Tribolium castaneum: one gene and its partner. The protein of the gene in region 1 binds, or shares a complex with, the protein of each later gene. Links are inferred from orthologs where the notes say so. Each region holds a gene or a part of one and is shown in the gene's direction. Other genes may lie near its edges.

Region 1 (8,694 bases):
GGGCGAGGCCGTGCTCGGGCAGTCGTTCGTCTCGTACGCCAATTATAACTTTGAGAACTCAGCTTTAGAATTAGCACGGTGTCAGTGGTCGAATTATGCCGATCAACATTACCTCAAAGGGTGTAAGTGGTCGCCCGATGGGACCTGTCTCCTTACTGTGGTCCGAGGGGCTGGGATGCATGTCATGGAGCTGCCAACTGATCTCTACACGGGGGAGACAATCATGAATAGCCGACCCCTTGTGGCGCTCAGCCCCGCTGTCAGTGTGCCTGAGAGTGGACTCATCTACGATTATTGTTGGTATCCGGGGATGAATAGCGCAAATCCAGCAACGTGTTGGTATGTTTTGCATTCTGGTTTTCTAAGAGGAAGGAAATGACTGTCAAATTACGAATGTTGAAATTGAACCCAACAGTTTAAAGTGTGATAACATTTTATCCTTTACTAATATTGATTATTGATTGTTCAGATCAGACTTTCTCCTATTTCCGGTTGCCTTCTTTTTGTCCTTGTTGGAGTACATTTCTTTTTTAATCACAAAATGTATAACATATAGTCGATTCTTTCGTATAATCAACTGTCCAAAGGGACGTCAGGTTGGCATTATCGTAAATAGTATTTTTTTTATTTAAAGCTGGTACTAATTTTTATCTGGCTAATTTAATTTAATGGTCTTTAAGGGAGAGAATGGAGTGTTATACTCAAAAGTAAAAGTTTTTGGAAATTGTAGATTCTGAAAGTAGACACAAAATGATGTCCTAGTACAATCGGTCTGAGTTATTTTAAATCGGTACTTTTTTAGTAATAATAGAAAATTTGCGCTGTGACGTAAGCAATGTCACGACTAATGATTCGTCAGTTTTTCCTGCATACAATTAACGCTGCGACTGTGTTGTGTGCTAATATTTTGCAGAAGTTTGTGTTTTGGTAAAATGACTGCAGACTGCTCCTGAAGCACATCTTTCAAGCTATCTTTGTTGGCAAGTTTTCTATCTCTAGTTCTGTCAAACAGCAACATTGCTGACGTCAGGCCAGGAATTTTCACCTTTTCAATTATTTTTCTCCAAAACGGTGGAGCTTTGGTTAAAATAAAAAAATCTGGGTCGCCTATTTTGTTATTGGCTATCCATGTAAAAATTTTCATTTTTTAGTATAACACCCCATGTTTTAAATAGTAACTGTTCACAATTGCCGCCACACTCTACGTCAACTGGCCAGAAAAAGGTCCATCAGTAGCTCGCAATAATTAATAATTTATTTGTTTGTTTAGATTGGAAGACATAGGTTTTTTTAAACTATTCTTATGCAAAATTTTCTCCTGATTTCGAATCCTAAGTTATATTTATTGTTTAAAATTGCCTTCATTATGAAAAAGACGTTTCTATAAAAATTTTTTAAAAACTTAAAAGTGGTCAAATTTTGTGTTTACATTATTATATCCTCCTTCTGGATAAAGCTAGAATACTTATTTTTTTGCAAAAGATTCAAGGGTCACCGAGTTCCCATTTGTTCGAAAATGTAATTTTAGAGATATTGGAAGTCGATTTTGACGTATGGCTTACTACTTGATTCAAATATTTTATTCGAAAATGTCAAGAAATTTTCATAAAATTATCATTTCGAATTTGGTATCGCAAAAAGTTTCACTACAATGTTAAAAAAAAGTGAATGCAGAAGACGAGTGCAGATCAAGGCAAATGATATCCTTGTTTATTGAAAAAAAAATCACATTTTTTGTTTTGAGATAATTTCTGTGGGATCTCGTGTCTGATTAGTTATTAGGTAATCAAATTGAAATCGAATTATTTTATTTTGTGCTATACAAAACGCAAAATAAATAAAAGGGAGAAACAGAATTTGGAAGAAACGAAATAGCTATTGAAAGTCAAAAAATTTAATTTGAAATATATAATACAAATTAAAAAAATTCTGTTTTAATTTCACCGAATAATGTTTCCAAAATGAAGAGTACACAGTGTTAATTTTTTTGTTTATACAAATTTTGGTTCCTGACGAATTTTAAGTTGTGTTCTTTGCCCCTTAGGGTTGCCAAAGATTACCTTTGCAACATTATGGATAATTATACTAGTTGATTTTTTTCTAAGACCAGTGTTATCCCCTTTATTCGTTTCCTGTACCTCAAAAACCAAAGGTCGAATTGTTTGCGTGATTCTAAGCTTCTAGTGTTATCCACTTATCACATTTTTAATGCAATTTTTTGTTAATTTGTTGAAACATCGTAAAAATTCACGATCTGTCACTGTCACTGTTAGTTTATGGAAAGATTTTTGTCGCTGTTATTTAACAGAGAATGTTGCGGTAGAAATGTTACTAACAGAGGGTAACAGAGTTTACGGAATACGAATTTAAATAACAGCTGTAATTTTTACAGTAATAGAGCAATTGCATAGTAACAGAAGTTAGAGAATAGCACCATTAATTTCCTCTATTAATTTCTAGAGTTCCTATATTTACAATAAATAAATTTCCCAATAAAGGAACTCTAAGTCGAACTATTTTGCTCATTATTAAAATTTTTATTTATGTCGCTGAATGCAACAGAGCGGAGAACAACTTTATTTATTGTAATGATATTTTAAACAATTTCAAGTACGAATAAACAATGCACTAAAAATTATAATAAATGCTCAAAGTTTTGGCATGCACCGTTTGTAATAGCGTTCCTGGGGTGATCGTAGCATTAGCGGCATGAATTCGGTTCATGAACTCCTCAGAAATTCTTCTAAAAATTGCTTCTTCTGCAGCAACGGTTTTCGTACCTCTGGGCTGACGAAATTCTCTTGGTAAAAGATCCAAAAGGGATCCAAACGACCAGTTGATCGCATTCTTTGGTCCAGTAAAAATAATAATGATCAGTATTTAAATCATTTTTGCACAGTAAAAGATTTAAATGACAAGTAAACCATGCACAGTATTTTATTAAAATTTGCTCAGTAAAAAAATCGTATATGTACAGTATATAGTTTCAGTTTGCACAGTTTAAATAATAAACGCTCAGTAGCTAGCTTGCAGGCTGGGGCTTTGCCCCAGCGAACTAAAAGGAAACATACCCCTCGAACGATTAAGCTCGAAAACGTAAAACTCGAAATGTGGAATTCTACACTCTCTAGTTTTGAAATGTTATTATTTACTGTGCATTTATTATTTTTTACTGTGCAGTTATTATTTGTACTGTGCATTTATTATTTTTACTGATCAAAAATATATGTCGTTTAAATAAAATACTGTGCATTTAATTTGTACCGTTTTATTTTGCCGCTTTAACTCGAACTCGAAGCGCAAATGTTTATTGTGGATAATGGATTGTAGAAAAATAAATATTTTAACAAAAAAAGAACATAATGCAGCATTTCCAAAAATTACCGAAAGAATCCGACTTTTTGTAATCCGACAAGAACAGCAATTTATATTACTGAACTGTCTTGGTGAGAACTGAACATTTGGCAACCTTATTTGCAAACTTGGACTGATATCTTTAAAACTAACGCCCATAGACAAAAAACAGATTCAGAATCCTCGAATATTGTTGAATACGACAAGCTGGACCAAACCAAATAGATTCTTCGGATCTGTTCGAAATCCTCAGATTACTTACCGTTTGATTTTCGTTATCTTCTAATGAAACACTTATTATGGTAGTTGCAAGTAAATAGCTATTTGTGTACTAACAAAACGAAGGAAAGATATGTATTCCTCTCTAGAAGAGAAAAGAGGCTTTCCTTCAGTGTTATACACATGATGTTTTCGCCGGCTTCGTCAGAAAATATATTTCCCACAGGAGATAATTATATTTTTTGCTGAGGTCGTTGAGAATAGTGTTTGGCTGCAGTCGTAGTTTCGTTATAAAAACACGCACAAATGATAAAACTTTACGTCAAAACAGTTTGCTCATAATTCTAACTTTTGTTCCAGTTGGTTATCAAGTGGTCATGAAGGCCCAATCCATTTGTGGGACGCTTTCACAGGAAATTTGCGGTGTTCATACAGAGGGTACAACAATGTCGATGAACTGGAAGCTGCAATAAGCGTAACTTTTTCAGCTGATGGTCAGAATGTATTTTGTGGTTACAAGAAGAATGTTAAAATTTTTAGTACCGGTCGACCGGGACGGGAGTTTGTCGAGTATCCAACGACGCATCCTGCTTCCTGTCTGGTGGCTAGTCAAGCGCAGCCCGGCGTTGTAGCAATAGGTTGTTTCCAACAAAACTTATAAATCAAAATAACGTAGTAACTTAATTAGGTACCTGGAAAAACACCATCGAATTGGTAGCTCAAAGCGACGGTACATTCCGTCACCTGTGCAAGTTGCAAGGCCACAGAGGGGGCATTACATCAATGGCTTTCTCACTGGACGGCTTCCGGCTGTACAGCGGCGCGCGAAAGGATAAAGAAATCATCTGCTGGGATCTACGAGTAAGATTGTTAACCCAACATTCTAATTACAAAAAGGAAAACACATTCGAAAAAAATCAATTTCGTTTCTAACATGGCTGATTTTCAAGGTGCCAGGTCGGCCAATGTTCTGTTTGACACGCGAAGCAAATACCAACCAAAAAATCAGTATTGACCTGTCCATGTGTGGCAACTGGCTCGTCTCAGGGGGCACGGATGGTAAGGTGCAAGTTTGGAATGTTCACGATAGTACCTATCCAAGCGTACACATGCAGGTGAGTACCCTTTGGAATTACCTCTTATGTAATTATTTCATGTTTTCAGTATCTAATTTAGTCACGTTTCTATTTGAATCATAATTTAAAAAAAATCATTTTGTCTTTATTTGTTGTTACACCAATACTTACAGGTTCCCAGGACTCTATACTTTGTCTCATTTTGTTTCACTCTTTATTTTGTTTGTTTTCTTTCAATTTTATGTAAAATAAATAAAGTGAGGTCCTTAGGAACAGTGACAAATTCAACTTTTGGTAACAACGAAGACTTTGTAAGAGGTTATAATTAATTGGGGATCAACGCTTTCAGATGCCTCTGCATAGTGACAGTTGCAACGGCGTAAGTTTACATCCTTATCGACCGATTCTTGCAACCGCTACAGGACAGCACCATCCTCTAGACCCTCTTCATCATACAAGAACTGCAATGGTTTATGAAAATGCGCTGTGTATGTGGTGGGTGGGCCAACAACAACCAGATCCTGATTTGCTAGCTTCGATCATGAAAGCGGCTGCTAAGTCTAACTCTTAGGTTTTTTGCATTTACGTTAGTGGGGTGCCACATCACATTCTAGATGATAATATTGTGCATTAAATAAAAAGTATTTTCACACTAAGTTTTATTTTATCATCAACCCTTAAACAATATGACGATTCCTAACTATTTGGGGTCGGGAAATACGTTATTTTATTCCTTGGTTGAAAAGTGACATCTAGGATTTCCAACTCTGCGAGGCTATCAAATAAAAAAAAAAAAAAATTTTGCTTCCAGCAAAAGTATAAATCCAAAGTGAATGAATTTTTTGGTGGCGAACTTAGAGTGATACAGAAGACTCTTGAAACCAACTTGGTTAAGATAATGGAATAGATGTGTGGGTACTGTATATTAAAGTTGCATTCCGAATTCATTACAAAGAATATTCGAACTTGGCCGAAGTGGTTGTAGGTATGGATGTTTTTATTTGTACAAAATTTGTCGAATCAAATTATTTGAATAAAAACATCCATGATATAGGGTGGGGCTAAAGTATTGTCACAATGTAAATTGGCTACCATTTTGTTAAAAATAAAAATAAGTGGGTTCTGTTTTCTCGGAAAGATTATAAAAAGTTGTAAAACTGATGACGTTAAGTTGAAAAAATGATATCGGTTATATGACCACCTCCAGAGTTCGAGCACATTTGAGCTCATGTTACAGCATTTGAACTGTTTCTCGCTAAATATCTGACTGCAAATTGTTGATTTCTTTTTCAATGTTACCTTTCAATACTTGCAAGGTTGTGGATTGTTATGGTAAACGCGAGATTTCAAAAAGTCCAAAGGAAAAAGTTTGGCTCGTCAGATCTGGCGGTCTGATCGGCCAGTTCATCCCCAAAACGGGAAGTCACACTAACGCAAATTGTTTAACCTTCATCTGCATATGTATGTGTCCAATGTCCAATGGACGCTACGTTGTTTATAATTTTCATTGCAATTTTTATTTATACGCCAAAAAAATCCAAATAAATTTATATGTATTTCTAAATGTTTACAGATGTGTTACGTAAAAATCTTAATTTTTATATTTACTTGAAATGGTACAAATTGGTCCATTGAGCCAAACATAATAAGTAGAATAAATATAGCAAAGGGCTACAATGCAAACGCTATAATTGTCATTTTAAAATACATAGAAAATCAAAGACAACCTCTGAGCCATGTGATAACACTTAGCAAACATGGTAAAAAAACAATTACCTGCGTACGGTGACAATACGAGTGGCATTTTTCATCCTTTTTAAAAAATTATTGATTTTAGTTGTTTTAAATATGTTTGATTAATTAAATAGTAATCAAGTGATAAGAAGAGGAGTGTGAAAAACCAAAGTCGTTCCCACAAGTTTTAATTAAAACCAGATTTACATGTATGAAGGGGCAAAGTGCTTTGTGTTGAAGTGTCCACCGATAGAAAATCAGGATATAATTAAGTAATAATTATGCACTCGAAGACACTGCAGTGAAAATAGATACCAGATTTTTAAGTTTGGTTTTCTCCTTTCTATTCTACGTTATTTTACATCTTCTTTTTTTCCTGTGTTTGGTTTGCGTATCACTGTTCTCTTTTTCTTTTTTCATTCTCCTGTCATCCTTCCTTCTTCTTTATTTACTAATGTCTTTATGTATTCTCTCATCGTTTTTGTCTTCCATTCTCTGTTCCTTCGGTCCAAGGAGGTTAACGTCCTTGCTTTGGTCATATAAAACAGGACGGATTTTGGGTTATATTTTTGTAGATAACGTTACTATAGAAACTTTTTTCTTTTTTAACTTAAGAATTTGTGACCTTTGGAATTACTCCTCAAAATTTTGTATTTTTATTAAAAACAGAAATGTACGGAATGTTTATAAAAAGTGTAGGATTTCAGGTGGTTCGGGAATTTGAAATTGCCGCATTTCATCATCATATTTCTATGAAATTTCTTAAAATTACCAGTTTTTATCTCATCAGGCAACCAGTAAACTAAATTTCTCATATACTAACATTGTTTTTTGTTTTGTTTTTTTTTTCTGGAAAGAAGCGGCAAATTGTTAATACTACGATCATATTCATTTATAGACAAATTGTACAACGGGTGAACAAAACGAAGATCTGCTAATATATGTTTATTAGTTTAGTCCAAGTACAAATCTGTTTATAAAATATATAAAGACTTTACAAGGCACATAGCTTAACTTAGGCAACAAATTGAGATTATTGTCTTTTACTCATGCAGGCACTGATATTAATAGTTTCCATAATATAGTATAAACCAACGACTCTTTCTAAACTGTTATCAATATAAAAAAATTACTTGTATTAACTCTTATTAGTTACATACCTCATGGCAAAAGCAACAACCCTTGATAAAATCATCCTTAAATGTAAGTTAATAAATAAGCGTTTAATACAATCGTTAAATCTGCATAAAAAGTAGAAAAAATATTGTTATAAAAAACCGCTGGGCAGATCGTCAAACAATAAATTAATTACATACAGTATCACCTATAAGAAAATGCCATAATACATTAACTTGATCACAGAACAATAACATACACGTTAATTAATTAAAGCAATAAAAAACGAATTTACAAACAACAATTTGTGGTAAAATGTAGACGCAAGGAACTGATTGAAGAAGTAGGAGCCTAAAACTAATACAAGGAACATTTTTGTCGAAATTTCAATCTTCGTCCTTGAAACGTCTGTAGATGGACTGTACGTAGGTGAAGACACATTTCCAATCCGGTTTACGGCAGGCCACCATGTCGTCGACGTCAAGAAGCGGTGCTATATCCGCCTTCTCACTACGAAAAACCATTATTTATTAGTTCTACAGAAAAAATATGCCTACTACGACAGAGACCCACTTCGTGCGTCTGGACTCCAAATTCACGACAAACATGAGAAAAAAAATATCGTATTAAAAATTAGAAAATTTCGTCCCATATTTTTCGAAAATATTTCCTTTATCTCTTATTAGTGAAAATTTAATGCTGTACCTGACCACTTTTTTGTTAAAGTTGGAGAAAAGAATCCGAAAATATACATATATTTGATATACAAAACAAAACACAAAGACAAAAGGCGAAAAGCAAAAAACTTTTAGATTAAAAACATAAAAAAATATTAAGGACATATGTCATAATTAGAAAAATTAAAAAAAATATCAAAAAGTAAAATGCGAAAACAACCCATTAAGAATAACAGAAAAAGAAAACTAGTTAAAAGAGAAAATGGGGATAGAGAGAGGGGAAGTAGAAGAGAGAGGTATTATTAAAAACATTGACTAGGTAACGTCAAAGATAAAATGAAGAAACAAAAGACAGAAAAAACAGAATACAGATAAGAGTACAAATTAATGAAAAAGGACATAAACATCATTTAACATAAAAATAATTTAAAACTGGTAAAGCAAACCCTTATAAAAGGAGTATGTTATGCTGTTTTTATACTTTGCGCCCCTTTTTTGCTTATTTTAATGAAATTTTT
Region 2 (8,280 bases), on another chromosome or scaffold:
ACCTTTCCAACGGCAAGATGTCCATTGTTAGCCTTGACAATGGCATCCAGACGTTGCAAGTAATAAGGGATGGTCTCCTTAAATAGGGGCTCTTTCCTAGATTCCTTAACAGCTTCGTTTTGCTCGTAATGGTAAAGGGCGATTTCTGTTAAACAGTTGAAAATTTTAGAAAGTCCTGATAAAATATTAAGACGGCATCGAAATGTTTTGCTTCCCAAATATGCGTTGTAAAAAAAGTTTCTTCTACCTCCAGATTTCCGTGAGAAGTTTTTCTGCATTCTCGAATTTTTTTAACAAATAATGTAAAATGTTAAAGCGAACTGTCGCTGTAGTCTTTATATTTAAATTTTGAGGGATTTCCGGTTCAATTTTATTTTTGAAACCGATCGTCACCACTTGAGTCAAGCAACATTTGAAGCAAAATCATTTTGCAGTGAATTTATTACAATAAATAAATAAATGCACACCAAGCGACCGATATGAAACGAATTCAACATGTGTTTTGTTCGATACTTTGCCATTATTTTGGTTAAAAAGTCATAAAAACGAAAGCGTATCAATTAACTTGAACACGTCCTAGCTATTTGTAAATATAATTGCTCACTTTGGCGCAAATCGCTGATGGTGTCCACGATGGCGTCGATTTCCAGATCTTCCCAATCGTCATTGCCGACTAGTTTGACCTTTTTGGCGAAAAATCTAGCCATGGCAACACTTTGGTGTGCCACCTTCCCGTTGTATTCCAAAATGGGGACTTGGCCAAAGGGCATGTCTGAGAGTATTAAAAGTATTGTTATCAATTAATTAATTAAGGCTTGGGAAAGATTACGCACTGGGTTTGAGTTGGGGCCAGTTTTCGCGGTCGAAGCGGTGGTCCTCAAATTCGATTCCGCCGTAGTTGAGGAGGAATCTGATGGGTTCGGCGAGGGCCTCCACTGGGAAGTAGGTTAATTTATATGCAGGAGCCATTTCTTCTGGAAATTAAACACATAACTGTTAAATACTGAAAATGGTGGAAACACCTGTTGTATTGAATATGTTAATTGACTTGCGGGTGCGCTTTATGCAAGCTCCTTCCATCATTTTCAATGCGTTAATGTGACACTTACGTGACAAGTTAATTCTGTTTTTGTTTTATGGTGTTAATTCAATTAAACGGTTACCATAACAAAAATCGATTTTGTGGCAGCTATTTAATGAGTGTTGTTACACCGAGAGCGGAAAAATCCTAACACATTACTCTTATTATAACATTTTTCATACTTTCATGACTGGTAAATGCTGGAGATATCAGTTTCAGATTCAGTCAATTTTATGATAAAGATTTTGTCCTATAAGTATTACACGGCCCTAGAGTACAAGCTGATACCAAAGTTTTATAGTTTTTTAAGTTCAAATGTAGTTACAAAATAAAAAGATAAGAATACAAATAAGAGTAATATTAATCTATGCGTTGCTAGGGGGAATGATAACATGTAGATCACTTGTAGTATTTTTAAAGTTGATATAAAAAGCAGTAATCTTTACTTTCTTCCTCGTAAGCGATAACATGCGAGTATGTGAGATAGAGAATATTGTGTGATATTTTTTGACTCCAAGAAAAGCTATTTGTATTTTATTAAGTTATCACTAATAATACAAATATGTAGTAGCGGATGTTTAATAATGTAGGTATTTATAAGATAATGCAATCAATAAAACATCACTGGTTTGCAGTGGTGACTCAATTGAAAAAAGGTACATTACACTGCAGAATTTTTGATCAAAACATTTTTTAGATAATGAAATTTTGTAATGTTTTCTCAAGGAAACGAACATGAAAAATGACTAGCAGATTTGTAACAAAACAAACAGTGCTTAAGTATTATAGATATTATACTTATAAGACCTAATAGTTTTCACAAATTTATGGAAGTTTTCATTATATTTTTTAATAGTATAGGACAATTTATTCAACTTGGTGTTACTACAGTAGGTAGTAGAATATTACGTACGGATATTTTTTTGTTAGATTATAAGTATGTAGTATCAAATAATAATAATTTAGGAGTAACCCAAATAAAAAATATTTTATAAGTGATTTTAACGCATTTAAAAAGTTACTATAATATCGCTGAAAAAATTAGCGTTTTTATTTAAGTGGAAAAGTTTTATATTTTAACGCAGGAAAACCCTGATGTACATTTACTTGTGTTTTAAATTTTAATTTATTTCACAGATGTTCTTATAGCTTATAAAAACAGCAGAAAGACCTTGATACAACGAAATAATATCGTAGCTCCCAACATCCTCCCACCCTACCTAAAAAAAATATTTTGTACAAGGTGGTATATATAGAGGATTCTTCTAAATTTGAAATTCCATTATTCAACTTGTGTTGCAAGTTTTTGTTGGGTATAATTACTGGTTTTTATTTAGATATAGTACCTATTAGATATAATTTATATCATTTTTTTACATACTTACTGCACTAAACAATACTCTGATAAGCCGGTTCACACACCTGTCGAAGCGTAAAATTTTAGAATTTCCGGTTAATACTGAACGAAACCTGTTAACCCCTTGTAAATAAAAAAAAATATAGGTACACCACTTAACCAAAAATCAAAAACCAGTAAAAAAAAAATTACGAAAATGGACACCCCAACATAAATGTGAAGTGACTAAGAATTCATCATTATGTGGCCTAACAAAGTAACTAGTACCTATTTAATTTAATTGAGGGAATTAATGGTTAAAAAAAGAATGTGTAGTACTTACCAGATGATAATAATTGTTGGAAAATGTTAATCACTGGCTATATTCGCAATGGAACCTTTCCCAGAACGAAGTCAAATAATTAATAATTATGCACTGTTGCTAGAATCAGCTTTAAATGGTTATTTCAACAAGAAAGGAAACCAATGGGAAGTGTGGGGCGTAGCAATATTTTGTTCAAGGTTAATTTAAAAATAAAATGTTTTTTTCCCTCAAAGTATGCAACTAATTATACACATGTGGTTTGAAGTTATAGCTTCATCTTCTAACTTTACAGTTTTCTGTTTTGATGGTAACTCAGAAAACTCCTAGAGGGCCCAAAGTTTAGGAGTGTTTACAGTTGGAGGTTACGTTTGCAGGAGAGGTTATGTTGCCGCACTGAAAATTTAGTGTAAACCACGTGTTTACAAAGGGACGCTCTTTTACGTTTCTAATTATTTGAGGAGTGAAACAAAATGTCTTTTCGTGGCCGAGGCGGCGGTGGTGGCGGCTTTGGAGGTCGTGGTCGTGGGGGCGGCGGCGCTCGAAATTTTGGTGGAGGCGGCGGGAGAAATAGTTTTGGTGGTCGCGGGGGCGGCGGGCGAAACTATGATCAAGGCCCTCCTGAGAGAGTGATTCCTTTGGGCTACTTCGATTACACCGTACAAGATGATTTAGTTGCTAAAGTAGAAATAGAAGACGTTCCATTTTTCAATGCGCCGATTTACCTCGAAAATAAGGAACAAATCGGAAAAATTGATGAAATTTTTGGAAATCTCAGAGATTATTACGTTTCGATACGTCTCGGAGACGACATAAAAGCTAGCAGTTTTAAAAAGAATCAAAAGGTATAAAAAAATTCACTTACCATTCACACATCTAAAATAATGTTTTGCAGTTGTTTATTGATCCTGCGAAGTTGTTACCACTTCAAAGATTCCTACCGAAGCCCCCAGGCTCAGTCCAGAAACGAGGCGGTCGAGGGGGAGGTCGTGGGGGTGGCGGAGGCCGCGGTGGTGGCAGAGGGGGCGGCAATCGCGGCGGGTTTGGAGGAAGAGGAGGCGGCAATTTCGGTGGACGTGGGGGTCGTGGGGGCGGCGGCGGTTTTAGAGGTGGTCGTGGGGGTGGATTTGGCGGCGGCCGAGGAGGGGGCGGCGGCGGCAAGAGGTGGTAGACTTGAAATTGTGACCAATGTTTTTTGTGGTTGGCAATTGTTCCATTAAGTGTATGAAATTTTTATTACGAAAATAGATCTATGAAAAATAAGAACTACAGGTTATTTCAAATTTTTGTGTGAATATGTCAGCAAACAACACGAAATGGATGGTGCCACTGTTTGACAAAGTTAATAAATAAAGAATATTTAAAAAAAATTTAAACTGAAAACAAAACCTTAATCATCAAATTTTGTATGTTTTGCTTTCTTTAACAGTTTGTCTCTACCACGTTGTTTCTTTTTTGCTTTGTTTAGTTTATCCTCACGATCTGTTTTAATTTTTTCCCAATATGAAGATTCTTCCTGTCCTGTTAATACCTCTTTTTTGCCAAAAGATTCTTGGGAGCAAAAATTTTTAGCGCCCTCCGTGGTGTTAAATCTTACATAAATGTTCTCACTGCCAGGGTTTGGAATATCTACGTACAATATATCAGCTGAAGAAGTTTTAATTTCATTCTGAAAAACGATTTATCGCAAATAAATTGGCCAAGATATTTAGTTTAGAAAATTTACCTTAAGTTTCTTTATATCCAGGGTAGCTTCGGTTAGCTTTATTTTTACAATAAGTCCCTTGGTAAAATCCTCTTTGTTGAGTTCAGTCTTAGCAGTGGGAGTTTTCGACTTTTGTTCATAATTTGGTTGATTAAACTTGGCTTTTAGAAGGTGTTTTTTAAACTCTTTCATTTTCTTCTTTTGTAAATCTAGATACCGATTTCGCATCTTTTTCCACTCTTTTCTAAAAAACAATTATTTATCAATGATTAAAGATAATTCTAGCTGCTTCACTTACTTTGATAACACTTGGAGGCCCAATTCTTTTATGTAATTTTTCTTTTTGTGTTCTTTTTTCAATTTCTTCTTTTTCTTATTTTCGGCATCGTCCGACTCAGAAACGTCTCCAGTATCATGTTTTGAATTTTTTTCTTTTTCGTCACTTTCACTGTGTTCATCATTTTCTTCAGTGTGCTTACTATCATCGACTTTCATTTTTTTCCCTTTTTCTTCACTTTCGCCGGATTCACTTTCTTCAAGTTTTCGTTTTCTTATTTTTTCCTCCGCTTTACTCTCACAGTGTTCACTATCTAGTTTTTCGCTATTCTCACTATTGTCTTCAAGTTTTCGCTTTTTTGTTGCCTTTTCGTCTTCTCCAGATTTTGGCTTCAGTGTAGAATTTTTAGAGGAAGCCTCAGATTGTTCATTACTTTCTTCAAATGTTTTAATACTACAAAGAGTTTCTGGTTCTGTATTTGACGGCATTTTGCAGCCAATGCTTTCAAAGTAATTTAAAGCATTTTGCGCTTCCTTTTCTTTCTCGAATTCGACAAAAGCAAAACCCTTTATGGCACTATTGTTTTTGTATTTTGGTATAGAAACGTAGACCACATTTCCAAATTCAGAAAAAACAGAGTTCAACCATTCATGAGTTGCATCGGATTTTAGGCGTTCTACATAAATCGTACAATCATCAACGTTAGCCTTTTCTTTAACCGGTTTTGTACGACGAATTCTACTACGATCTTCTGATAATTCGATTAACTGCGACTTTTGTACAGCTTTTTGGATATCATCTATGCTGGTTGTGAGTTTAGTAATTTTGTTAAATTTCAAAAATACGTTCAGGTCGACAACTGAAAAAAGTGCTTGGTATTTACCTACAACTACTCATAAAATAATCATATAGTCACTTACAAGGATTCTCCTTTATTAATTGAGATAGAAATCTATCTTTGGTGAGGTTAGAGTCGCTAAAATAAAATTCCATTTGCTGCAAAATGGAATTGTAGAGTTGCTTTTTTCGATGGCGACCTTTTTTAAGTATTGAATCGTCGTGTGCATTTGCATTTTCTTTCGTTTCATTTTCCATTTTCAATACTTTGCAGAAGTAAAAATGAAAATTATAACCTAACTTAGCGTTTGGAAATGAAATTGAAAAAGAAACTGCCGCCAACCATAGAAAAAAAATATTTGTTGGAGGTAAATTTGGTTGCCTAATTAAAAAAAATGTTTTTAGAATGCAAAAAAAATCATTTACTTTTTAAATTATACGCCGCTTACTCTTATTCATAGGAGATAGCTCTTATTCAAAAAATAATTATGTTTAGTTGTATCAATTACACCCATGCTACTCCTAGTGCATTGTGTGCTGCACTTTTTACCTAATCAGGCGTGAAGTCTTAAGTGAATAACTCTATGTATTTAGTTTAGATTATGAAAAAAAAACTTTTATACTTTATTAACTAATTTAATTAAGTTTTACCATGAATTTGAATAGTACTTCAAATCGTTTCAAATAATCCATTATGTGAAACTGAATACTCACCTTGATTTCATCTTTCTTAGAAACGAACTATAAAGTCACCGATAAAATGATAAAAGTAAGTTGTTTATTACATTAAGTTACTTAAATCACTGACATACTTATATTGTTTGCCTTATGGATTGTGAAATTTAAACATCAGCACGTATAAGTACTGATGTTATCGCCTTAGCAACATATAAGCCACCAACTTGAGCAATCTTACAATAGGTTTAAATTTTATGAAACCATAAGTAAAATTATTCATCAGATTAAATTACAACAGTCATTTAAAAAAAACATTTATCATAACTAACTCATAGTATCTTTGCCGATGTTTTTTCGTGCTTATTTATTATTTAACTATGTACTTTTGGAGATGTTTTTATCTTTTGGCTTTTGGCCACAATTAATGAGGCAAATTCAAAATAAAAAGTTATAGTATGTACATTTGCAAAGATATTTTGAAAAACACATTAATTTTTTTAATTGTTAGTCCTTGCAATTTTAATTTAATTCTGGTCTAAAAGAATCATTGATCCACAATATTGATCCGTAAATGTATAAGTTTTTTCTAGTTAAAAGTTTAAAATAATACGAAATACAAAATAACAACAAACAAACAAAGAAAACAAACGTTAGAATAACTACAACTTGTCCTATCCAAATGTTTATAACTACTTTTTGTATTTAGATACACCAGCTATCAATAAAAAAAGTCAAGTGACTTAAATTAAAACTTTGTACCCTATTCATATCATTTATGTGTGTACTTAATTGTACTCACATTGTAAAACGATTTACTGATGTCATTGTTTTATTAACAAGTAGATAACAAGCATTTAAGTCATCAAGATAAATTAGGCTTAAGTCTTTTATCTAAGTCACTCAAACTAACGTCTGCATGAAGTTTTAGCAGACGATAGGCAAGTGGATAATGTTACAATAATTATAAGCACGTTCAATCATCATACAACCTGAATACCTACTTATAGATTATTATTTATCTTTTTGTCAATTTTTTTCCGATTTCTTTTTAAAAATGAGGTAAATACACTCATTTTATAAAAATGTAAAAATTGTCTATTCAATTACACAAATTTTTCATTATGAAAGTTTTTCTATTTGATTAAAAATTATTCATAAAGAATTTATTGTAAAAAATTTATACCTACTTACTTTTCAATCTCTTACTAGATAATTTTTCCTGTTGAGATAATGAGAATGAGAGTACCACCAGCAGGTGTTGTCCATATAGGGTGAGTTTTATAGTAGAGGCCAAGTGCCAAGTATAAAAAAATACTTGTACGTAATGTAGAGGGTTTTGGAAAAAAAAAACAGGAAAAATACGTTTTGAATAAAAGAAATGTTTAGAGACAAGAATGAATTTAAAAATAAGAAAAAAATAGACAACATCAAAAATAGAAATACGGCATTTCTTGATAAATACCTAAAAGTATTAGCAAAATGAATATCTGTTGTAAACGGATAATTATGTTTTTTCCCAAAAACTAAAAAAAATGTTACAAAGAAGAAAAAATTAAAAATACAGAAATGTTAAGCACCGCAAGTGTTTAATTTATGTAAACATCAGATAGATATCCAAACTTTGTTATACTAATTCATTGCTGGTATTATCACAAGTCATATCCCCACCTTATCAGTCGTATATAAATACAAGACGCCTTGTTCAATAAAACCACTTACTCCTATTTCAAAATAAGGTAACACACAACCAAAATAGTAACTAGAGTAAGTGATATGCACGTAGTATCCAAACGGTTATCTTCTATTCTTTTACTATTTTTGTTTTAGTAGTTAAGATAAAATGTCTTCCACCGGCGAAGGAAACGATACAGTAACCGCAAAAGCAGTAGCAATGGGCGTGCTTTTTGCCGCATCCATGACTCTCGGTACCATTCCTATAAAACTATCCGAATGGTTCGACTGGAAATCTGGTACCAAAAACAGCGTTTACGTCCAAATGCTCCTCTCTCTAGGCGGCGGTGTTCTATTATGCACGACCTTTTTG

Evidence for each region.
Region 2: WDR79 (region 1) and Gar1 share a complex: the UniProt entries of both Homo sapiens proteins name them as parts of the telomerase holoenzyme complex. The link is inferred for Tribolium castaneum from reciprocal best matches to the Homo sapiens genes WRAP53 and GAR1.

The regions. Positions count from the first base shown.
Region 1 is NC_087399.1:12,226,850-12,235,543, reverse strand, and holds the end of WDR79 (telomerase Cajal body protein 1 homolog), read left to right. Parts: coding exon 1-339; intron 340-3,933; coding exon 3,934-4,211; intron 4,212-4,261; coding exon 4,262-4,434; intron 4,435-4,523; coding exon 4,524-4,688; intron 4,689-4,737; coding exon of another isoform or gene 4,738-4,749; exon of another isoform or gene 4,750-4,998; coding exon 4,999-5,220; 3' UTR 5,221-5,305; downstream 5,306-8,694. Other genes in the region: uncharacterized protein LOC657834, read right to left, coding at 7,886-8,009. UniProt on the Homo sapiens protein: RNA chaperone that plays a key role in telomere maintenance and RNA localization to Cajal bodies. Specifically recognizes and binds the Cajal body box (CAB box) present in both small Cajal body RNAs (scaRNAs) and telomerase RNA template component (TERC).
Region 2 is NC_087394.1:30,498,914-30,507,193, forward strand, and holds Gar1 (H/ACA ribonucleoprotein complex subunit 1), read left to right. Parts: upstream 1-3,212; coding exon 3,213-3,584; exon of another isoform or gene 3,585-3,634; coding exon 3,635-3,910; 3' UTR 3,911-4,115; downstream 4,116-8,280. Other genes in the region: glutathione S-transferase, read right to left, coding at 3-145, 605-772, 834-974, 1,023-1,083; Larp7 (la-related protein 7), read right to left, coding at 4,130-4,408, 4,466-4,688, 4,743-5,580, 5,642-5,816; zinc transporter ZIP1, read left to right, coding at 8,077-8,280. UniProt on the Homo sapiens protein: Required for ribosome biogenesis and telomere maintenance. Part of the H/ACA small nucleolar ribonucleoprotein (H/ACA snoRNP) complex, which catalyzes pseudouridylation of rRNA.